4 linked regions of the Schizosaccharomyces pombe genome follow. The protein of the gene in region 1 interacts with the protein of each later gene in a biochemical or structural test. Each region holds a gene or a part of one and is shown in the gene's direction. Other genes may lie near its edges. The genes, in order: rpn10, cut4, rpn2 and rpn12.

The links.
Region 2: the proteins of rpn10 (region 1) and cut4 form a complex in vitro, tested with the Schizosaccharomyces pombe proteins (one study listed by BioGRID).
Region 3: the proteins of rpn10 (region 1) and rpn2 form a complex in vitro, tested with the Schizosaccharomyces pombe proteins (one study listed by BioGRID).
Region 4: the proteins of rpn10 (region 1) and rpn12 form a complex in vitro, tested with the Schizosaccharomyces pombe proteins (3 studies listed by BioGRID, with this or other methods).

What each region holds. Positions count from the first base shown.
Region 1 is NC_003424.3:4,556,614-4,560,926, reverse strand, and holds rpn10 (19S proteasome regulatory subunit Rpn10), read left to right. Parts: upstream 1-2,230; 5' UTR 2,231-2,290; coding exon 2,291-2,316; intron 2,317-2,358; coding exon 2,359-2,505; intron 2,506-2,562; exon of another isoform or gene 2,563-2,584; coding exon 2,585-2,908; exon of another isoform or gene 2,909-2,971; coding exon 2,972-3,206; 3' UTR 3,207-3,376; downstream 3,377-4,313. Other genes in the region: ATP-dependent RNA helicase Rpm2, read right to left, coding at 1-1,634; rex1 (putative ribonuclease H70), read right to left, coding at 3,633-4,313. UniProt on the Schizosaccharomyces pombe protein: Protects ubiquitin chains against dissambly by deubiquitinating enzymes thereby promoting protein degradation.
Region 2 is NC_003423.3:387,809-396,537, forward strand, and holds cut4 (anaphase-promoting complex platform subcomplex scaffold subunit Apc1), read left to right. Parts: upstream 1-3,101; 5' UTR 3,102-3,180; coding exon 3,181-7,557; 3' UTR 7,558-8,229; downstream 8,230-8,729. Other genes in the region: protein mug2, read right to left, coding at 33-923. UniProt on the Schizosaccharomyces pombe protein: Component of the anaphase-promoting complex/cyclosome (APC/C), a cell cycle-regulated E3 ubiquitin-protein ligase complex that controls progression through mitosis and the G1 phase of the cell cycle.
Region 3 is NC_003423.3:3,318,683-3,325,455, reverse strand, and holds rpn2 (proteasome regulatory subunit Rpn2), read left to right. Parts: upstream 1-2,543; 5' UTR 2,544-2,614; coding exon 2,615-2,660; intron 2,661-2,721; coding exon 2,722-5,573; 3' UTR 5,574-5,823; downstream 5,824-6,773. Other genes in the region: dca7 (WD repeat-containing protein), read right to left, coding at 1-489, 554-795, 836-1,069, 1,185-1,427; DNA primase large subunit Spp2, read right to left, coding at 5,994-6,419, 6,463-6,773. UniProt on the Schizosaccharomyces pombe protein: Acts as a regulatory subunit of the 26S proteasome which is involved in the ATP-dependent degradation of ubiquitinated proteins.
Region 4 is NC_003423.3:4,212,614-4,217,356, forward strand, and holds rpn12 (19S proteasome regulatory subunit Rpn12), read left to right. Parts: upstream 1-2,363; 5' UTR 2,364-2,392; coding exon 2,393-2,543; intron 2,544-2,594; coding exon 2,595-3,256; 3' UTR 3,257-3,504; downstream 3,505-4,743. Other genes in the region: crb2 (DNA repair protein), read left to right, coding at 1-810; histone lysine acetyltransferase Rtt109, read right to left, coding at 1,027-2,136; rbk1 (ribokinase), read right to left, coding at 3,534-4,490. UniProt on the Schizosaccharomyces pombe protein: Acts as a regulatory subunit of the 26S proteasome which is involved in the ATP-dependent degradation of ubiquitinated proteins.

The sequences.
Region 1 (4,313 bases):
AATTTGATTTTATCTTTAATGGTTAAACCTTTTATGTGGTCTAAATATTCAATAATGAATGTGCTTAGTGCTCCTTCCGACACAACAAATGGAGTAGTCGTTTTCGCTAACTTAAAGTAACGATCGAAAATTAGCTTTTGAGGAATGTCATCAGAGAATAGTGATAAATATCTAAAGAATAAATCGTCCTTAGCTCCAATACAAGCATTGAATAAGTTCTTTGTAGGAAGATTCATGGCGCGATTTAATTTCGCAAAATCTTTTTGATATAGGGTAGTTACTATTCCAGCACTTTGCTTAGATCCATTGGGATTATGTCGGCCAGCTCTTCCTGCTATCTGCTTAATTTGTGGTACAGGGATGTCTATAGTGGAAACTCCACTAAACTTTTTTAAATCGCTGAAAACAATACGCTTTACGCCTAAGTTGAGACCCATACCAATGGCATCGGAGGCCAGCAAAATATTTTCATCAGAACTCTTTGAATTAAATAAGCTTGCTTGTTGATTACGGACTTCAGGAGGCAGTGAACCATAAATAACGGCAGATTTTTTTCCTAATGCTTGATCAATTTTAGACTTCAAAGTAAAAATGTTTTTCCTTGAAAAAGCCACAACACAATCCCCGTCTTTGAGTTCACTTAACTTTCCATTTAAGCTCTTTTCTGCAACGTGGAGAGGATTTAACCGTTCGTATCTGTAAACAGTAAAATCATCTTGGGTCATTTTAGCAATTGAACGCACTAATTTAACAACACTTTCTTCTCCGCATAAATGAATTTCCTTAGCCTGCAAGCCAAGCAAGCATTGAGTCCAAGCATATCCCCGTGAAGGATCAGCCATCATTTGGATTTCATCAATGACTGCAACATCAAAAGTAGTAGATAAGTTGCACATTTCTACAGTACATGAAACAACCTGAGGGAAAGGATAATCATTTCTAATCTCTTCCCCTGTGTAAAGATTACAAGCTATTCCGTTTGCTTGCAAGCGATTATAGATTTCGTGAGCCAAAAGTCTTAAAGGGCCAGCAAATATACCTTTCTTGCAAGTCTTAAGTCTTTCTAAAGCCCTATGTGTTTTCCCGCTATTCGTTGGGCCGACATGCATAATGATATGCCTTCTGAGTTTTCTCGCTCCTGGATACCACTCAATTGGATTTTTTAAATCTGTTAATTGCTTTTGTAAGTCAGGTCTTGTTTCTTCTATTCGCTCTTGATATCGTACATACTTCCGATACTCTGAGAGTAAACAATCATGGATCTTTTTTATTTTCTGAAGGTCAAAAGTAGAAGAAGATTTTGAAAGAGCCAATGATTTATCAGAGTTTTTTAAGTCAGAAAATCCTAAATCTGTAAGGATATTCTTTTTTAACTCATAATAGTATACATTCTGAAAGACACTGGCATCCTTGCAGACATTGACAAAGTCTTGGGCTAAGTATGCTTGTTTTGACGAAAGTTCTTTGGAAGCAAATAAATATGCAGTGAAGCGATTGAGGGCAGCAGCCCACAAGGTATTTCCTGGGAATTTCCTTTGTTGAAAAACATCCTTTGATAAAGTGTGAATTCTAGCAGACTTGCTAAAAAACGGTACACAAAACGTTACGCCATGAATCAAAGTTTCCAAAAACATTCCTGGCGAGTTAAAATCTTTCTAGCAATGCTCTATTGCTGGCCGCCCTGTAACCAGAGCAAAACTTAATCCAAGTATTTAAAGTAATTTAAAAACAAGAAATGTTTATATAGAAAATTAAATACTTCTCAAACGTCTGAAGGTCCCTGGCTTTATCGCTTTTAAAAATATTACCTTCTATTAATTAAAAAAGGAAAAAAAAAGTAATAATTTGACTACGAGATTCAGTCAAGTTGCCTGCTGAGGCCTCTAATATGTTATACCAACAGCTCTGCATGTATCTCCAAAAAATTAGTATCTCAGCAGTACCCTTTAAATTCCAGTTTTCCGCTTCAGTAAATATATAAAATTTTTTAAAAAGCGTTTATTACCTACACTTGTATTATAACAATTTCACGCATTTGGTGTTGGCTTTCGATTATTTACGCGTGCTGTAAGAAATTAGAGAACCTGTGGATTCGAACAGGAAATGAATTGTGTATCACCATGTTTTTCGATGTTTCATTTTGTGATGCGTTACATATCGTTATCCGAGAATGACTAGAGAAGGTGAGTAGTAATACCTTGTCTAGTTCACTTTGCAACACATCTTCTGTAATCTACCAAGCGTTCTTTCAAATTTCTTCGCATTAAGTTTTAAATTATAGGTCTTCAAGATGGTGTTAGAAGCAACGATGATTCTGTAAGAATTTATTTTTGTTAAATTATTGCTCTAACATGGCAGAATTGATAATTCAGAATGGATGATTAATGGTGATTATATACCTACGAGGTTTGAAGCTCAAAAGGATACTGTACATATGATTTTCAATCAAAAGATCAATGATAATCCGGAGAACATGTGTGGTTTAATGACAATTGGTGATAATAGGTATATGATTAATATTACGGCTTGAACGGTACTTTATGTTCAGCTATAAAATACTTTACAGAAATTCTAATCATATTAGTCCCCAAGTTCTTTCTACATTAACCAGAGATTATGGTAAATTCTTATCTGCAATGCACGACCTGCCTGTCCGAGGAAACGCAAAGTTTGGCGATGGTATACAGATTGCGCAGTTAGCCTTAAAGCATAGAGAAAACAAAATTCAACGTCAAAGAATTGTTGCATTTGTAGGTTCTCCTATTGTTGAGGACGAGAAAAATCTTATTCGTCTAGCCAAGCGTATGAAAAAGAATAATGTTGCTATTGATATCATTCACATTGGTGAGCTTCAGAATGAATCAGCTTTGCAGCATTTCATTGACGCTGCTAATTCAAGTGACAGTTGGTAAGTCTACGGATTTTTCGGACATTTTTGGCTTCTTTTTTTTACTAGTATTAACAATTTTAGTCATCTTGTCAGCATTCCACCTAGCCCGCAGTTACTTTCAGATTTGGTAAATCAATCCCCTATTGGACAAGGTGTAGTTGCTTCTCAAAACCAATTTGAGTATGGAGTCGATCCTAATCTTGACGTTGAATTGGCGTTAGCCTTGGAACTTTCAATGGCGGAGGAACGAGCACGTCAAGAAGTTGCTGCTCAAAAATCATCTGAAGAAACTGAGGATAAAAAAATGCAAGAATGATCCGAAGATGTCTACGATTCCTTATCCTTATGAAAGACAAATTAACGTTCTTGTACTTTACTAGCCATGCTTTATGCAGCAACGTTTAAATTAGATTGAATCCTAAAAATCATGATTTTTCAAAATATATCCAAAATAATAAATTGGCAGCATTTTGTTTCATTTTCGTAATTAGCATTGTAGAAAAGGTTAGCGCATTCTAGAAACACATTACTAGAAGGAAAGGTATTAATCTACAATCAAGGTAGCGTTAGTGGCATCCAATAATAAAAACGCCCCTAATATACGTGTCTGACTAGCTGTTTACCTTTCTTAATTTCAACATATACATAAACCAAAACAATTGTTTTCTTCAACTATCTATTATGACCAATAAAATGCAGACCCTTTACCCAAAATTTACTTGATCGCAATATAAAAACACACTTATTTGATCGTCATAAAAGACAATCCATTCCTTGTGTTTTCAACAGCAGATATATATTTCATATTTTCTTCATCAGTCCATTTTACTGATAGCTCATCCCATTTTTTGGTCTGGTATTCTTTTCTAAATTGTTGGCGAATAGCGTTTAATTTTGACATTTCGATGGGATTTCCAGTACCAGTATACAAAAGCAATAGAGAACCTTTTGGTAAGGAGTCGTATAAAAGACGAATTCTTCGATTAAAACGCTCTAAAGCAGAAGAATAGCTAGTTACTTGGTCCTCTTCTACCGAATCATTCTCTGTATCAGTATCAGAGTTGTTTTCTTGTTTTGTATTTCGATTAGCGTTCCACATAGCCGCATGCTCCAATTCGCGAAAACGACCCCACACGAAGTTATGCATGTCTGAAAGACTTACAACAGCGCTTACGACTTCATCATCATTCGCACAAGAAACGCTTTTATGAGCCGCTTTGCCAATGCACGACTCCGGATTACCATAGTCGGCAATTGCACCAATCAATGGAGTTGGCTGCTGTCGTGACAATCTATGAAAGATTGACTCAAAGTCTTGGTTAAACAACCCAAAGGCAGGTCCATTCTTAACTTTCAACTTTAGAAGATCCACACAAGCAAGAGCATCTTCTGCAGAATCGTGCCCCAGAGCTCCCGCTTTTTG
Region 2 (8,729 bases), on another chromosome or scaffold:
ACGAACATCATTGTATACCAGCACCATGCGTCTCACCTAGGGCTTTCCAAATGAAAGCTATTCATCTCGAAGCTCATGTCAGTGAATGCTCTCATTCCTATGGCATCTCGAAGCTTTTCTTTGAGATAAACAGTATCAGAAGAATCGATGGGAATTCCGTAACCCTGAATAAATGTTAAGCACTGCTCTCTAGTTAGGTTATCTATATCTTCGATCGTCCGCAAAGGAGGCAAATCGGCCTGGGGTAAACTGCCATTTAGAAAAGGCACGACGATGGCCGGATAACCAGTTGCTCTCCTTCTCATGTTTTGGGACCGCTTTAAATCCATGTCTGATTTAAAAGAACGAGCATCTAAATTCTCTAGAAATTGTTTAATATCATACAAATCACTTGGAATGCGTGGCAGATTAGAAGATGGTGACAGGGTATTTCTTTGATGGATGGAAAAGACACTGTTTTCCCCACTCAACGCTCTTTTCAGCTTACTCGGTTTATTGGAATAATTTGGGTTATTTTCTATTATCCTTTCAGTTGTTGTATTATCGCTTTGAGGAAGGCGTTTGATTTGGTTTTCTTCGCTTAGAATTTGGGCCAATCTGCTATGTCCACAGTCTTGAGATGATTCATAAAGCTCATTCTCTTTTACAAAGCTCCTAGCTTGATAATTTTTAGGATCTTGATTATCCGTATTAAGGGCTTGCCCATGATAATCGGTATCAACATGAGACTCATGTCTTGCAAGCCCTGCGTAAGAAACGTCAACTGGTTTTTTGCGAGAAACAGCTTTTGCTTTGACTATATTCTCTTCTGTTGAGAGCATGTTTGTATTTGATTCACCCTTATTTGCCATCCGTTTGGCCTTATCAATTTTTTTTCCCAATAAATACACATTTTCAATTTTTTGCCAATTTTCTTTTTTCATCTTGAAAAGTTGCTCGAAAATAGTAAAGACAATCAATAATATTATTCCCTTAAAGGGGAACTACTTCCATACAGAAAAGATGTTGTACTGGATCATTTATAAACTCCCATGACATGTAAACAGATGTGAATCCCTGACAATTGAGAGCCATGTTTTAAACCGTTAAAATTTTTAACGCGCTTTACCGATGTTTTATATGCTCTAAATTGTATGTACAAAGAATGAAATATCTTGTGAACATAAAGGTTATTTAAGAATTTAGGCTGAGATATTTTATAGTGAAAGCATAAAAACCGTTTTGTATACATAGCCGATTATTCTACTGTCTATACCAATCATTGTCTTATTTTAACCATTGGGTATTGAAACCGAGTTCTATTTACTAAGAAAACACTTAGTATAATTCTTTTTTTTGTATTTGTCTGAGAGATTAATCAAGTACGAACTAAAGAAATCTCTTGTCATATATTTTCCTTTGTGTAAATAGCTAAGGATGACTGTTACAATATTGCCCATAGCGTTCTATAACTTCTGGTGGATCAATCGCAATCATTTTTCATTTCAAAGAATTACTAATTGGGTCTATAGAAAAATCATTTCTTTTTATTTCAGACTATTTTGTTTGTCATTGAATTTCCTACATTAGCTGCTCTGGTTTATTGTATCATTAACTTTTAACATAAAGAACCTCAACAAGTCATGCTAATTTGACATTATAGAATGTAAGTATATTAAATTATGATAAACTATTTATTGCAAAAGCAGGATGGATAGTACATTATAGAGCATAGAAATTGTTGCAAAGAAATCCACAGTTTATTATCTAAGATATTTACTTTATGGAGATATTAATTTAGAAGGCTCATAGCCGTATTTTTTTGCATTATAAGCCATTTGTTTCACTGGCTTTATATAGTCAATATGCGACTCATAAATTCATTAGAGTTATTCTCTCGCGAAAAATCATTGAAATGTGGGGCCTGATCATTGTTGTAGATTTAAGCAACATATAACCGAAGCTAATGAGAACAAATTGAAGCAGAGTTTTTCTGAATACCAAATACATTTTTGATACTCCAGGGTTGCAGAGTTTTTGCCTTCAGAGCCCATTGCAAGTATGTTCGGTTTCTAAGGGTTTCCTCACTTCATACATAGTTAGATTTGTTCCTCAATTCTTAATTTTTCGCTGACTTCGTGACGCTTTCTACTATAATCATGTTACAAACTAATATATAAACAAACTAGTGACCTTTAGGATTAAACGAGAGGCAAGCACAAACCACTTGTTCCATTCAAGTTACTGCAATATTTTTATGGAAGATATTAGAAAATTAGCAGAATACTCACCAAGTTTGTCACAATGCAAGACGATGGCAAAAGATCCTTAAGCTCATTCCATATTAAAAATGTCGTAAGTTAGTAAAATTTAAAAATAGTCAAGTCCTTCATTTTGAAGTTTTTTGTTTATTACTCGACCAAAAACAAATTGCCTTGCAATCGTTACCTTTTATGCTTTAGCACCTATAATTATCCTGTAGACAGAAATTACCTTTTATATAGCAAACATTATTATACCCAAATAATATTTAACATTGAAATCTTCATAAATAAATGAATAAAGTATGGTAAAATATTATTTACATCCCCCTATACAGCTATATGGCTCAACCTTTATACAGTAATAAAATGTCTAAGTAGTCCTGCATGTTATGATAGAAACACCCAAAGCCTTCACTCTAAACTTCAAGGAATTTACTGCTTGCTTTTGTCGTACACACTCCTATAGTAAGGCATCTTATATTCCATATGGATCCTCGACACTGGGGATGTAAGTACTGACTTGTAGTTTGAAATGGCAAGTCGGTCGTCTATATCGACATGATTTTATAACTAAATTCCTGTAAAAAAGAGAAACAAAAATGATATTTTAATGCATAAAACAATTTCCCGTTAGAGTATTTTTAATTATCAGTATTCCAAAAAAAAGATTTCTAGTCTTCAAATAAACCAATGCGTGATAAATACTGGAATTGGGGAATATAAAGATCCAAGTTAAATTTAATTGATTTTGTAAAAGCACTAAGTTCTGTAGGTTGACTTTTTAATTGTCTAGCTAACGTAAGTTTGGTAAGAGATGCTGGTTTGTTTACACTAGATATACGCTGACACTCAGATTTCACCTACAACTTCATGCTAAAAAGGAAATGCGAAATTGTAAACGGAACTGAGTTATTGATTATCGTTACTAGATGCTGAAATGCTAGAATTAAAAACAAATGTTATTCAAGACCCTGAATTAAAGGATTCATTAGATTTGCAAGAGAATGATCGGGTTGAAATCATTGGAGATGCTGTGCATTATATTGTGAATGACCATTTAAATCGTGTATTTAATTATACCGTAGATCAACAAAAGATACATGCTGCCCTTATTACTACATTTGCATCTGGAAAAAAGGCAATTGTTGTGATTCTGGACGACATTGGATATGTATACTATGTGGGCGACAATAATAATGATTCTTATATTATAAACGTTCCTTTTTCAACAGAAAGCGCATGGAGTTCACCAAGTGGACTATATCTTCAGCGTCATCGTTCGAGCGATGAGAATCTGAATACTGACTTGCCTCATATTTTTTGTCTAAACGATCCTTTAGATGAACTTACGTTAATAAAATTTGACGGAAAAAAAATACTATCTCTGTTTGATTCAATCGTTTATGTCGTGGGAGAGATCGTCGTAACACATAATAAAAAAGAAAAAAAATTGAGTTTTTGGAGGAGTCGCTTTATTGATCCAGAGTCAGACCAGTCAATAAAAAGCTCACGTAACAGAAGAAGGGAAAGCTCTTTTTCTCGTGAAAAGAATCCTGACTTAACTCGCTCTGATTCTATCCATTATACCGCCAATACTCGTCTTTCTGAAAAATTCGAGGAACAAGGACTCGCTTATTCGACCATATTTTCTCACATAGAGTCTTTTCCTATCACCGGAAGTACTTCGTTTGATTCAATCCTTGGAAATGGTGTTTTGGTCATCACCACTTTAGTGAAAGAGCTTGAAAAAGGCTACATGATGTTGTTTCGCCTTGTTCGTGACAGATCTCCTTACTTCTTAGATTCGCTTCAACTACATGCAATAAATTTGAGTGCTATTAAATCTAAGCATTTGCAAAAAATTGTTGTTCTGTCTTCAAAGGGGAAGGTGAGTCTCGAGTCTCCAATGTCGCCATCTTTGCCTATTGAGGGTACCTTTCGTTCATTTCGTGTGCATGGTGCCACACTTTACTTAGAGGACACCGATGGAGTGCAGAGGTATATATCTCTAGATAACAGAGCATCCAATAGCTTGGTAAAATGGTGTTTAAGTGTTATTCGTTATGTTTTGCCCTTGCGTGAATATGAAATTTTTTATACTGGACATCTTTACGCGCTTTTTGCTTTTAAGCTTAGCCATGATGAGGCTTTCATATCTTCAATACTCGCCTGTTTCACTTTCTTTTCTCGAGATAAAGTTCATGTTGAACCAATTGAAGATTGCAATGAAGCTTACAGTCTGTCCTCTAAGTTTCATTTTAAAAAAGAAATACTTATTGCTTCTCAGCTCTCATCTCATCTTGATTACTCAACATTCAAAAATTACTTGATGCCCTTAGCTATTACCTTACATTTTATATCTGAAGAATTGCGGTTGGATTCGGTTGTAAAGCCTCGTAAAGATCAGCTTGTAGCTTTATTACTTCAAATCACCACGTGGTTGAAGTGGCCACGGTATTGCGAGTATTATAACTTTGATATCGCTGAAACATTTCTATCTATACCCTTATCGATTCAAGTTGATGTTGAGGAACCTGTTGGTCCAACATCGATTTTACAGTGGATTATTGAATGTTTAAGGTCGCAATCTACAGTACCTTTTTATGGCTTGGAAAGTTATGGGCTACCACATTCTTGCTCTACTATGTTTCCCCAAACCCTTTCTTTAATGCAGTTACTCGATTGCTTGCTAAATCCTAATATGACCCTTCAAAACTTAGTTGAAGAAATGGTACGGTTAGGAATTTCAAGAAAGAGGTGTGAAAGATACCCATTTGGAATTTTATGCATTATTTTTACAGTACTCGAGATTGCCGCTGAAGAGTATTCTCCGAATTGGGAAAGCGAAGAGCTTCGATTAGTCAATCGCCTTGACGTTGATTCATTCTTACATCCAAAGACACCTAAATGGGTTTTTAATAAGCAGGATCAAGAAGTCAAAGAAATAAAAGCACTCACTAGTACAGTTACCGATTCTACACTTGTTGACACGCAGTCGTTTCATCCTTATAAGGTTGTAACGGATATGATTTTTAGAGAGGATCGACGACTGGCAGAAGTGAATAAACTTTTAAATTATTCAAGTCAAATCACCATAATGACTGAACACTTTGATGTCGACTTGAGTTCAGTACCAATGCAACAAAAAGTTGCTCAATGCATTTGCGTTAGAACATTGTCCGTGCCAATTGGAGCGGGTATGCTTACGTATGGTAGTAAAAATCCTTTACCTACGGAAAAGGTCACTCCACGATTATTTAATTTTACATTGCACTTGCATCCTGGAACTTTAATTATACAACCTAATAAAGAGTTCGTAACACAGGAATTAACCGAGTGGCCAGAGTTTAATGTTGGCGTTGCATTAGGATTATCGATATCTAAGTTTTCAAAGGAAATAAACACTAGTTGGATTATGTTCAATCGACCTGAAACTTTGACTGCTTACCATGCGGGATTTCTTTTTGGTCTAGGGCTAAACGGTCATTTAAAGGCCCTTGCTACCTGGCATTCTTTTATTTATCTTACTAGCAAGCATGATACAACCAGTATAGGCCTTTTACTTGGACTTGCATCCTCGTATTTGGGGAGTATGGATGCAAAGGTTACAAAATTGCTAAGTGTGCACATTTCAGCATTACTGCCAGTTGGATCTAATGAATTGAATATTTCACCATTAACTCAGACTGCAGGAATTCTAGGAATTGGTTTATTATTTCATGATTCGTGTCATAGACGCATGTCTGAAGTGACCATGGAAGAGATTTTGGCTTCTAATGAAAGCGAACTAAAGAATGAAGGCTATAAGTTAGCTGCTGGATTTTCTCTTGGTTTAATTAATTTAGGGAGAGGATCTAATCTTCCAGGCATGTCTGATTTAAAACTCGTTTCAAGGCTACAAGTGGGAATATCTAGTCAGGCTACATTTCAGTCTTTAGAAGCCGGTTCTCCCGGGGCCATTATGGCTTTGACTATGATATATATGAAGACTAATGATTTGGAAGTTGCGAAAAAAATTGATATTCCTAAATCGCGATATCTTCTTGATTTCTATCGTCCAGATCTAATACTTTTGCGAGTTGCCGGTAAAAACTTAATTATGTGGGATGAAGTCAAAGCAGATTATGAATGGGTGAAATATCAAATTCCTGATATAATGCTCTCACAATTTGATTTACAGGAAAAAAAGGTTCTCTCTTCTGACGACTTGCTGCTTTATAATGTCTTAGCAGGGATTTGTTTTTCTTTAGGTTTAAGGTTTGCTGGAACGGGTAATCCGAAAGCCAAGGAAATTCTCATCAACTTTTTAGATAGCTTCATTCGGTTGTGTCATCTGCCTGCTAAAACACACGATGAAAGAGTAACTGCAGTGACTGTAATTCGCTGTACACAAATTGTCGCTTTGTCTTCTTCTTGTGTTATGGCGGGTTATTGTGATCTAGATGTTTTGAGAAGGTTAAGAGTACTACATGGGAGAATGGAGCCTGTGAACTACGGGGCTCAAATGGCTACTCATATGGCGCTCGGAATTCTTTCGCTAGGTGGAGGAAGGTATAGTTTGTCTCGCAGTAATTTAGCAATCGCGGCTTTGTTAATATCATTTTATCCGCAATTTCCCAGGACTACTCAAGATAATCGTGCACATTTGCAAGCTGCTCGAAATTTGTGGGCTTTAGCTGTGGAAGAACGTTGTATTATCCCGAGAAATCAAGATACCAAACAGCCATGCATAGTGCCATTAAATGTTGTTCAAAAAAGCGGCGCAGTTCAAAAACTAGAAGCGCCTATACTTTTGCCGCCGTACGATAGCATTAGTTCAGTGTCGACGTTGGGTGATAAGTATTGGAATTTAAAAATTGATTTGGACAATAACAGTGATTACCGTGAACTATTAAGGGAATCACAAACACTGACACTGATGCCTTATGACCGAACAAGTTCAAAAGAAGAGCCACTTAATCTATTCCCTAAGCTTAAAGATACCTCAAGCCCACTTTGGAACTTGGTAAAAACAAGCAGGTTGTTCCAAAGCTCGAATAGCCCCTTAAACGTTGCATCGTTACAAGAATCAAATAATAAAACTTCTCTAGGCGTTAAATTACTCCTGTCTATGGACTTTGATAATTTAACTAGAGACCGTTTATTAAGTTTGCAAATACTGTTACAATTTTTTGAGTCTTGTTGGACTGGTGTGCTCTTGAATAAGTTTCACTCCCGTCAATATCTTTTCCTTTCTCGTGATTTGGTAGAAGATTTGAGTTTGAGAGTATGGGAGTATGTGTATTCTCATAATCATAATGAAGAATCTGTATAATTATGAACTACGTTTATTAATTATATGATATGCTAATGGGCTGAATGGTTTCCAAAAATCTTTTCCATCATATCAATCCTTCAAAAGGAAAATTGAAGTTTAAAAAAATAGAACCCCTTAAAATTAACGACTTGTATAAATACCTTAATGTCTCAATTAATATACAAGGTGGCATATCCAATGCAACACTTTTTTCACGATCATGATTAATAGCTATCTTCAAATAATGGTTTGTTAAAAGGAAATCGAAGTTAATAATAAATTGTTAATTGGAATACTGATGCTCAAACTATTTCACTGGGCAAAGTAAAAAGAATATTATTGCGACAACTACTAAGCACCCATGGTTCTTCAAGGGGTAATACCGCCTGTCTCAAGGCGCCGTTGAAAATAGATTAGCTTTTTTATCCTTTTTCTATATCTTTTCCCTCCTTTCGTTAATTAATTGATTTAAGCATGACACTTCGAGCTACTAACTAACACTATATCGTTGTATGCTGTTTACATAAGTTCTTGATGTTCGAATCTATGACTTTCGAGTAACGGTTCCAAATATTATAATTTAATGAATTACACCCGATAATTAATACACTGTATTAAACCATCTAAATCCACCTGACGAATTCAATCTTAAAATTTAAATAGAAGTCTTTAAATCCGACATGCACTGAGATGCTGAAGTTTTGTAACGATCTACATTAAATTCCCCTATTATAATTTACGTACGATTATTCGCCTCATTAAAAATTCCTTCGTTTTTGAGGGGTAGTAAGGGCATGACTTCAACCTTGCATCCTATGACACAACACTTCTTTCGTTAGCAAAACACAAATTGAAGCTTGCGAACGCATAGGAAGTGTGAATAGCTCGTTTCTCGAAAGCCGCTAATTCTACAAAAGCTTTCTGTATCAAAAAGACTTGTAGTTTTACTTAATACACCTTTGGTTCTGCGCTAAGAGTGAAAGGCTCAGTATTGTTGTGAAAACCGTGAATCTGTAACGTCGGTTTATGTTAATTTGTATTTTTGAACGCTTGCTATAACTATTGTTATCTATTTTTGTCTGCTATAGATTATCTTTGAAGGACTCAGAGTCGATTTAGCTTATCTTCTTATTTTTTGTCTCAGGTGTATCGAATTATCGTTCGTGTTCATTTGTACTTTTGGAATAACA
Region 3 (6,773 bases), on another chromosome or scaffold:
TTCCAAGATAGTAAGGGAGAATACTGGTTATCAGCATTCAACGGAGAAGCCGTCTCACGCATAGAATTCACCGACGAAACGGGTGTCACATATTCTGAAGTCGAGCCCGTCATACCAGGTGTAGTTCCAGATACACTCAGCGTTGGAGCTGGGGAAGGATTAACTGGCTGATCCAAATCCCATAAGGAAACGACACAGTCGTCCCCACAAGTGGCTAATTTTGATTTAGAGCCCGGCATCCATTTAACCGCATTCACGTCCCCCTTATGTCCACGCAAAGTGGCATAAGCAGTTCCCGGCACTCGGATGTCAATCATTTGGACGTCAGAAGAATTATGGTGGAAAGTTGCCATTAAATTAACATCGGAATCGCAAGCAGAAAGTCGAAGTAAAGGAGCTGAGACAGGAGGAGAAGCATTTGTATAGTCACCGTTTCTCTTCCAAAAGGTGCTATCGCCCTCATATATGATCGTGGAATGATCCAATGATCTAAAGAAAGTTAACAAACTACTGTCAAAAGGAAAAATCCAATTGCCGATTGTGGATCGCATACCTCAAGTCAAACATGCGGACGCTGCCATCAGCTCCTACGCTAACAAAAACATTGATACTGTCCTTGAGAAACGCAACGTCATAAACTTCTTTGTCGTGAGCAATTAATTGTGTTTTTGATTGCTGGGCTACAATGTCCCAAACTGTGCAAGTGGTATCAAGGCTACTCACTACGATATATGAAGGATCAGTTTTGCACCAATCAAACGAAGTTAGAGGAGCATTATTATGAGTTTTTACATGCTATAACATTAGTCGCCAAGAAGAAAAAAGAAAATCATACGGTAGATAAAGAGGCTTGACATAACAAAGGAGAATCAATCCCCGCTTCAAAATCGGTTTTCCATAATCGCAATTGCTGATCCGTAGAAGCTAGCAACTGGGAGTCGGTGTTAGAACCAACCGATGAAGGATTCCATAACAACTTCGTAACTGGGTATTCAAGATCAGTTGCTGCTTGCGCCTTTTCCAAGTGAGAATTTCCATCATCCCCAGTTATTAGTTTTAACAATTGTATCTAAACAATTTTTTGGTTAGTAACTTCGTAGAACAGAGTACATCTTTGGAGTCTATGCCAAAAGAAGCACAGATAAAATTATATAATATTTCCCCTGGTTTTGCAATTAGCATACCATATTATTTGGTTCTTCATTCAAACTTCCCATAGCAATCCATTCACTAGAATATTTTCCTTGTTTTAACCAATCCAAGGCAAATGGAATCCACGGTGCATTGTATCCAGTATATTCTTTTCCCGCTTCAAATTTGTTAGGCAGTTGTCTTTTGGGCGATCCGTAGAATTTGCCAAGTGAATCAAGTACTGATTTTCCAACGCCAGCAGATATTGAATACCTATTTCTACGTAAATCTGTCATTGTGCGCGAAGTGTGGATATTGGGATAAAGTAAGTAAGCGCCCCACTTATGATGTATATTCAATACAAAGCAAACAGCGAATACCGGCTGCAAAGCGAAAACGCAAAAATGAAGAATTGTTTTATTATATTTGTAATTTTTTTCCTATTCAATAATTTTTTAGTAAATTAAAAGAAGCGACTGCGTACAATTGCTTCACCCTTTTTTGTTGATTGACCTTTGATCCCGTACTCAGCGCTTCCGTTAAGGTATCATTACATATACATTAATATCATTGTATGCGTGAAACACAGAATTTTTTATATCTATTTAGAGTTAAGATAGTTATGTTTTAACAAAATACATTTCGGGTTACTTTAGCTTCTGTTTGCTTCCAGTTTGACGACATCGAAAAATGTCCATTCAATTAACATGCCAGCAATAAAAAACAGTGGTTTTAATAAAGCCAAAAACATTGTGGCATGGGAAGGCCTCGATATCATTTCTGGACGCATCCATGTGGCTTAGTTATTTCATTACTGATAGAATTGACTTCGAGAAAAATTATGAAATACATTAAATTTTCTTGATCAAACAGTTCATTTGCAAAGCTACTGAACCATGATAATTGTTATATTACATTGTATTTGTAAAGTAATATTGTACTAGGCATTGATACGTACTGCAAGTTAAACGAATGATCCCAGCGTAATATATACTATCAAAAAATACTAATGAAAGTATAACTGTGAAGTCAAACAACTATAATGCTTTAAAAAAAAAATTCGACAAAAATTAGCTACTTTGTTAAGCTAAAGACTATAAATTTATCGATACTAAAAGCGAATGATAAGAAGGCAATGAGAATCATATTATAGAACGATCAGAATAGCTTTACTTAGTTCGTTCATTTTGATACGATACTCATATAAATCCCTCATTGGGTTGAGATATCTTACATAGTTGATGAAACATACAATTTGACTTTTTTCGATAATACTGAATATTATTTAGGTGGTGTGGTGTGGATAACATGATATAGCATTACATTTAATATACCTGAAACATTTATTGGTACAAGTGCCCTACCCTTACCGAATGTGTTGGTGGAATGAAGCACAACGGTTCAGGGTATTTACCAACAACGAAACACCACCTGCTGTTATATAGTTTGTAAGATTTAAATAAACAGGTCTAGTTTCGTCGAAATGACTATGGTGTACTCTGATAACACCTCTATTATAACGTCAGCAGGTACGTCGAGCGTTAAACAATGAAAAAATGTAGAAATCATGTTCACTAATCCTTTTGATAGGTGGTTTGATGGCCCTGCTGGACGAGCAAGAGCGAGAATTACAAGTACATGCTTTACTAAAAATTTATGAGTTTATTGATCAATTATGGCCGGAAATATCGGATGATGTTACGAAAATTGAGGTTATGTATGAGGACCATTCATTTCCTGAACGCGAATTAGCAGCCTTGGTAGTCTCAAAAGTTTATTATTACCTTGGAGAATATGATGAGGCTCTTTTGTTTGCCTTGTCAAGTGGTCCAAAGTTTTTGCATGACAAAAATAGTGATTACAAAGAAACACTAATTTTCAAATGTATTGATATGTTTATTCATAAAAGTGCAGAGTTGTACAAAAATCCAAAGGCTGACCCCTTGGACGAGAGACTAAGTGGCGTAGTCGAGGGCATTTTTCAAAAATGTTATGCTAAAAACGAATGGAGACATGTTTTGGGAATTGCTATCGAGGCTCATCGACTTGACATTATTGAATACATTTTAAATGCAGACAAAGAGACAGATTTAAAGCCTTATGTACTGGAACTTGCAATGACTGTTGTTTTAGACATTGAATTCCGAAACCGCTTACTTCGTCTATTACTAAGTTCTTTTCTGACAGAAACAGAACCTGATTATTTCTCAGTTGGAAAATGCGTTGTTCATTTGAACGATGCCTCTGTTGCAGCCAAACTTTTAATGAAACTATCTTCTCAAAACGATGACAAAAGCTTATTGACAGCGTATCAATTAGCCTTTGATCTTGAAGATTCGGCTCCACAAGAGTTTTTAAATAGTGTGATGGATTTGCTTCCTTCTCCCTCTGTGGCCAATTCCGAAGAGGACGCTAACGCTGATTCGAAAAAGGAGGATTCTTCTCCTTGTGGTTATATTATTCGAATTTTGTCTGGTGAACAAACCGTTAAATATGACCGTGAATTTTTATATGCACATAACAATACGGATATGCTTATTCTGAACAGGACGAAAGATTCTTTAGAAGCCAGGAACTCGGTTTTTCATAATGCAGTTACGTTCGCCAATGCGTTCATGAACTTCGGTACTTCCTCGGATAGTTTCTTCCGCGACAACCTTTCCTGGTTATCCAAGGCCAACAACTGGTCAAAATTTACTGCAACAGCTGCATTGGGTGTCATCCATCGAGGATATTATAATCAAGCTATGAACATTCTTCGTCCTTATCTGCCGGAAGAAGATGCGCCATCAAGCTCTACTTATTCTGAAGGTGGTGCTTTCTATGCCATGGGGTTGATTCATGCTAATCATGGAAGAGGTGTTACTGAGTATCTGCGCGAACAACTGAAACATACCGAAGATGAGATTGTTCAGTATGGTCTCTTACTTGGAATTGGCCTAACGGGCATGGCTAGTAGGGACGAAACCCTTTATGAATCTGTTAAGACTATCCTTTTTAACGATAATGCCGTGGCTGGGTCTGCCGCTGGTATATCCATGGGTCTCATAATGCTTGGTACAGCTTCTTCTGCCGCCATTGATGAAATGTTGCAGTATGCACATGAGACGCAGCATGAGAAGATTATTCGAGGTTTGGGCATCGGTATTGCATTAATTGTTTATGGACGTCAGCAAGAAGCTGACGGTATAATTAAAGAACTGAATAATGATTTGGACCCTACTCTCCGTTATGCAGGCATGTTCGCTACCGCTTTGGCTTATTGTGGTACAAGCAATAGCAAAATAGTTAGAGACGTACTTCATATCTCAGTTAGTGATGTCAATGATGATGTTCGTCGTGCTGCAGTTTGTGCTTTAGGTTTTATCTGTTTCAAGGATCCTAACGCTCTGATTTCAACGGTTGAGCTGCTCGTTGATAGTTATAACCCTCATGTTAGATATGGTAGTGCAATCGCTTTAGGAATTGCCTGTGCAAACTCGGGGTCCAATGCTGCACTAGATTTATTGAGCCGCCTTGTTGAAGATGCAACGGATTTTGTTCGCCAAGGTGCCATGATTGCTCAAGCAATGATTCTCACTCAACACAACGATCAATTGAATAGTAAGGTTTCTGGAATTCGAAAACATTTTGAACAAGTCATCAACGAAAAACATGAAGACGCGCTTGCTAAATTGGGCGCAACATTGGCTCAAGGTATTATTGATGCCGGCGGTCGTAACGTTACTATTGCTCTTCAGACAGCTACTGGTAGTTTGAAATTGTCTGCAATTGTTGGATTAACTGTTTTTCTTCAATATTGGTACTGGTTTCCACTCACGCATTTTATGTCTCTTTCCTTCTCACCTACTGCGCTGATAGGTCTGGATAAAAACTTGAATGCACCCAAATTTTCTTTTATTTCAAATGTTCGTCCTAAACTGTTTGCCTATCCTCCAAAGTCCGTACAACCCACTGCTAAAACGGTCCAAAAAGTTGAAACTGCCGTGCTCTCTACTACAGTCAAAGCTCAAGCACGTGCCAAGCGTGCTGAACGTGAAAAAGCCAGTAAAGGTTCAAATGATGACGAAATGAAAATCGACAAAAAGACAACTGAAGAGAAAGAGGCCACTCCGATGGAAATGGATGAAGAAAAAAGTCAGGATATAAGCATCAACGGCAACTCTAAAAAAGAAGAACCTAAGTCTGAAACTTTAGAGAACTTCACGCGGGTTGTTCCTGCTCAGCTTCCATATATTTCATTTAACCTTAATGGCCGTTATTATCCGGTTCGCAAATTTACCGGTGGTGTTCTTATGCTTATCGATCGTGAGTCTGATAAAGCTCCAGATTTAATTGAACTGAATAGAGACGCTGTACCTGCTAGTGCAGATACAGAGCCTGGTGAACAGGAGGCCTCTCCTCCTGAAGATTTTGAATACCCATTTGATGATGATGATTAGATTCCCAGAAGTACATCCTGCTAGTCTCAAAAAACCATATACGTTTGTAAGAACATCTTGATTGTTACTTGCATCTCTTCAGATTAAATACAAACGTTTTCATATGTTAATAGACTTGTAGTTTGAAGTTAACGTATTTATTCTACGGAACTGAGTGTTCGGAAGATTGCTAGACAATTTCATTTTGATGATAAATTTAAAAAGTTTTCAATTACGTTTTTTAAATTAAATATCATGTTTTTTACGTTGATTTGGTATTATTGCCTTTTATTAGTAACAATGCTTATTCATCTATATAACCAGCCTGCCGGTAATTAGATTTTTGAATTATAGCTATGAAATGTATTTTGAAAGTGTTCAATACCTATTGTACAAAAATTGAAATGTGTTATGATAATCGTGAACTAAAAGTATCTTAGCTTATGATTCTAAACTAAGTTGAAAATATTGTAAGGGATGGTGAATGCTCTCCTCCAGCGAACCGACATTTGGATGAGTAAGCTCAAAAACACGCGTACACGCAATATGATAATGCCTCGCTTTAACTGCCTCAACAACTTCACGGCATCCGGCAGAATCCGGTGCTATTCCCATGGAAGCCAATGCTGACACTAGATTATTTACTGAATATGTACGATAAGGACAACCGTGGGCATCTCCAGGACCAAGTTGAGGCCCTGTAAGGATCTGCTGGCAATTATAACCCTTGTAATTTTTCCTATTTCCTTCAAGTCCATAAGTATGTCTAATATTGTAGCGATATTCTTTGTTAAATTTGTCTTCTGTTACATTTGTAAAACTTTTCCTCCAAAAGACCAAAGCTTCGTCGACAGAAAGGCCAATATCCTGAAAAATTAGTAAATTACTACATAAAAAATAAGTTTCATACTTTTAAAAATAGCCCATATTGAAGACGGCCAAAATGCCGTAGATGCTTATCACGCTTAAGTACTTCATGTAAATGTTTGGCGCATAATGGAAAATGTGAAACAAAACTGTCTACTTGTCCAGCAGTAATAGCACCAGATTTAGGAGCAACTATTGAACTCTCGGGAGCAACGAATCCTTTACTCAAATGGTTGAGAATTGGCAAAAGACGATCGTCTTCATCAAGCCTAGGAAGAGATTTTGCGGTAGACTCAAGCGCTTTTTTTAAGTTTTCTTCAAACTCTTCAACAACTAGACTTACTTGTTCCGAAA
Region 4 (4,743 bases), on another chromosome or scaffold:
CATGATTCTCAGAGAAACCGCTCTTCTTTGAAAGAAAGGGATTCTTCCTTTGTCAAGAAGAACTTGGATTCAGAAAGTAATCAGCTCATCTTTGACGATTGCGTGTTTGCATTCAGCGGTCCCGTGCATGAGGATGCCTATGACCGAAGTGCATTGGAAACTGTAGTTCAGGATCATGGAGGATTAGTTCTTGATACAGGCTTACGCCCTTTGTTTAATGACCCGTTTAAAAGCAAACAAAAAAAGTTACGCCATTTGAAACCTCAAAAGCGAAGTAAATCGTGGAATCAAGCTTTCGTTGTATCTGACACATTTTCTAGAAAGGTTAAATATTTAGAAGCTCTAGCTTTTAATATCCCGTGTGTCCATCCTCAATTTATTAAACAGTGCTTAAAAATGAACAGAGTTGTTGATTTTTCTCCTTATTTATTGGCATCTGGCTATTCACACCGTCTAGATTGTACACTTTCCCAACGGATAGAACCTTTTGATACCACTGATTCTTTATATGACAGACTTTTGGCAAGGAAGGGTCCTTTATTTGGAAAAAAGATTTTATTTATTATACCTGAAGCAAAATCTTGGCAGAAAAAGATTGAAAATACAGAGCAGGGTCAAAAAGCTTTGGCTCATGTCTATCACGCGTTGGCATTGGGTGCTGACGTTGAAATTAGACCAAATGTTGCACATTTGGAGTGTGATTTGATACTTACGATGGATGGAAACATTGTAGATGAAACTAATTGTCCGGTCGTTGATCCTGAATGGATAGTCGAATGTCTTATTAGTCAGTCTGATATTTCTACTTAGTTTTGGTTTTTTGATATAGTTATTTTTACTAACTCCCCCTGAGTTTCACTCTCATTAATTTAGCTTTTTATTAATTTTAGATATTTGTTGTTTATTAATTTATTTGCAATACTGACGAAAAGTGTCAATTTCAATATTAAACAAAAACTTTCTCTAAAAATCTACATGAGAGGATTGATTGGGATTATTAAAAATTTTCAACGAACTTAAAGTCCTTTATTTTTTCACTTTTTTTCGTGGCTGTAGAATATTGGCTTGCGTAGCAGGTTTCGAATGGTTGTGATTTTTACGATCATCACGTTTTGCCAACCCACATATATCTAGCTTGTAGCGCTTATAATGAAAATCCTTTAAATTTTGTACAGCGGAAAGTGTGTTACTAAGAAACTTTTCTGTTGACGACTGTGCATCAGATAAAGAGCCAAATGGATGCTTCAATAAAGTATCGTAAGTGACTCTGTATAATTTAGCTGGAATCATTACACCAGAATCACCAAAATTATCTTTAGCAATAAATTCTCTTGTTTGATAGAACTGTAGCTGTAATGTGAAAAAGCCAACTAGTTTACCTGAGGAGCACTCTTGTCTATAAGTCAGCGTATCCCAAAACTCTTCAACGGACATGTCACTTTTCTCATCTTGAAGCTCGCATAAATACCTACATTTTGGGTCATCTGGAAATCTTGGTAATTCTTCAACTGCTTTTCCAGTTGTTATAGCGTTGCTTTCAATCCAATGACGATTGGGTAAGTACGAACGAATATTTTCAAGTCCAGGAACAAATAAATAAGCCTTAGGAAGTAATGTGGAATTCTTTTGCTTTTCGGAATCGTTTGGTGCTTCACTGTCAGTATAATACTTCCTGAGTTTTTCCAAACAATTTACCCACCAGCGTAACAAACCAGAATCATTCAGCACATGCTTTTGTCCATTGTCCACCGACTCAGGAAATAAATATTGACCTTGAGCAATCGCAAACAGAGTCAAAGTTACATTTTCGGCTCCTTGTTTTCTAAGACCGTCAATAAGTGTCACTAAGCAGCAAAAAGCAAGAGAGTTACAAGATACCCCTTTGCTGCCGAATCCGGTAGAATCTGCTTTAGATACAAATACTATAAACTCTTTGTTTTTTTCGTAAACTATGCATTCCATGCCAAAAATAAATACATTTTGTTCCTCTACCAAAAAAAGATGACTCCCAAATTGAAAATCCTTAGACTTCTTACTTTGACCAAATAGAAATGGACATTTCTCTAAAGTACTTTTAAGATGATAAATACTCAATTTTCTGCCTTCTAATATACTTTCTGACCAAAGATCCGGCATATTCTTTAGTTTAAAGGATAAAGAGAGTTAACGCAACTACAGCAATTATTGTGAGTGAATACTATGTTACAATTGCTTAAGTGATATAATGAATCTAATAAAACAACGTCAAAATCCGTAAGGAGCTTTAATTTTTGCTGGTAAACCTTTATAGTGTGTTCGTTATTGATGACTATTCTGAGATGCATGGCAAGAGGTGTTGTTTCTACAGCTCTCTTAAAAGTTCCAACTTATTACACTCTCAATACACATCAATATGAGTACATTAGACTTGAACCATTTAGCAGATCTTTATGACAGAAAGGATTGGAATGCTTGTAAAAAGGAACTTCTGAAACTGAAAGTCGAACTTGCTAAGCAGAACCTCTTCGTCCCTACTAGCGATAAAGAGAAAGCTAGTTTTGCCAGTATGTTATTTGTATAGTTATCTAAGAACAGACCTCTAATCTTCCTTATAGGAAATGTATTTGAATACGGTGTACTTGTCTCGATTCAAACTTGTGATATTGAATCGTTTGCAAGGTATGCTAGCCAAGTAATTCCTTTTTATCATGATTCCCTTGTCCCTTCATCAAGGATGGGACTTGTTACAGGATTAAATTTGTTGTATCTATTATCTGAAAATCGTATCGCTGAATTTCACACAGCCTTGGAATCCGTTCCTGACAAATCGTTATTTGAAAGAGATCCGTACGTAGAATGGGTTATTTCTCTAGAACAAAATGTAATGGAAGGTGCATTTGATAAGGTAGCATCCATGATTCGATCCTGTAACTTTCCTGAGTTTAGTTATTTTATGAAAATTGTTATGAGTATGGTTCGAAACGAAATTGCGACTTGTGCCGAGAAAGTGTATTCAGAAATCCCCTTATCTAATGCAACAAGTTTGCTGTACCTGGAAAACACTAAGGAAACCGAAAAACTTGCTGAAGAACGAGGCTGGGATATTAGAGACGGTGTAATATACTTTCCCAAAGAGGCCAATGCTTTGGAGACGGAGGATGGTATGCTTATTGATGAGGAAGACGAATTGGAGCTTCCTCCCACTGCTAGCAAGCACACAATTTCGAGTATTCGTCAATTACTGAGTTACACCTCAGAATTAGAGCAGATTGTTTAATGAATCAAACATCTTGTTTGATGGTAATTACTCTTTCTACAAAAGTCAAGGCGTTTATTTCACTTCCCTCTTATTAACAAACGAATCATATTTTATGCTATAACCTTTATTATTCGTAAGAGATACCTTTTGTTCTCATTAACTTGAGCAACATGCAAGTTTATGTTCAATACTGAAAAAGAGTTGATGAAGTTATATGAGATAAGAATGTGTAGAAATCTAAAATCGAATTATGCTTTTTTCTTCCCTTTGTAAGGTAACGCGTAAAAGCCAGAGGCTATGTATTCTTTTTTAGGTTAAAGGAACCATCGACTTCAAGTAAGGAAGGAATAGAACTTGCAGCTCCCTTTCTCTGTACAGTAATAGCACTACATTTAGCAGCAAATTCCAGTGAGTCCTTAAGTGGCTGTCCGTGTGCAATTGAATTAGAAAAGGCACCAATGAAGGTATCGCCAGCGGCAGTCGTGTCAACGGCTTTCACTTTGCATGCTGAGACCAAAGCAGATTCTCCGTTCGCAGACTTATAGTAAGCACCTTGGCTACCAAGGGTTATAATTACGGCTTTACGGACACCGAAGCTTAGTAACTTAGAAGCATATGCATCCACATTTTCCAACGTAGCAGGTGAGTCTGCTTGATTTAAGAGAATGGCAGCTTCATGTTCGTTAGGTACAAGATAGGCACAATAAGATATCATGTCATGACTAAGCGGAATCGCTGGTGCTGGATTCATCAAAACATCGACACCATGTTTGTGAGCGATCTGCAATGCAATTTCCACTGCTTCTAAAGGAATTTCTAATTGCATAATTAGAAGATTACATGTTGATATTCTTTGCTCCATGGCCTTCACAAACGCAGTATCAACATTACCGTTCGCACCCTCAGAAAGCAAAATTCTGTTTTCTCCCGTTTCTTCGACAATAATCATGGCAACACCTGTGGACTTGTTTTCAATCTTTTTGACATTATCTACATTTACGCCGTCTTTCTTCAATCCGGACAACATTTCCACCCCAAAGGCATCATCACCTACGCATCCCAACATAGATACTTTCGTATCAGCCGGATTTGATAGCCTAGCAACAGCTACAGCTTGATTAGCTCCTTTCCCACCATTTCCTGTACTGAAGCCATCTGGTTCTCCATGAATCGTCTCACCACCTGAGGGACATATCTTTGTACGCATTACGAGATCGGTATTCATACTCCCTAAAACGACTATATTAATCATTTTAAAAAAATATGGCAACAAAAACAAGAGAATTTGAAGAAATTGAGCAAGAGTATGAATTAGTAGATGTCGTTGGCAATGCTACTTGGCAAGTTATTTATCAATTAATTTAAGAAGGAAGAATGTTAGGAACGACAATATACACAGGTAAAGTAATAGGAAAATTCACGAAAGACAGCTAGTGAAATTAAATGTTAGTGAGATATACTATCGTAAACCGTAGTTATGTAATAGGATCAAGCTAACCAGCGAA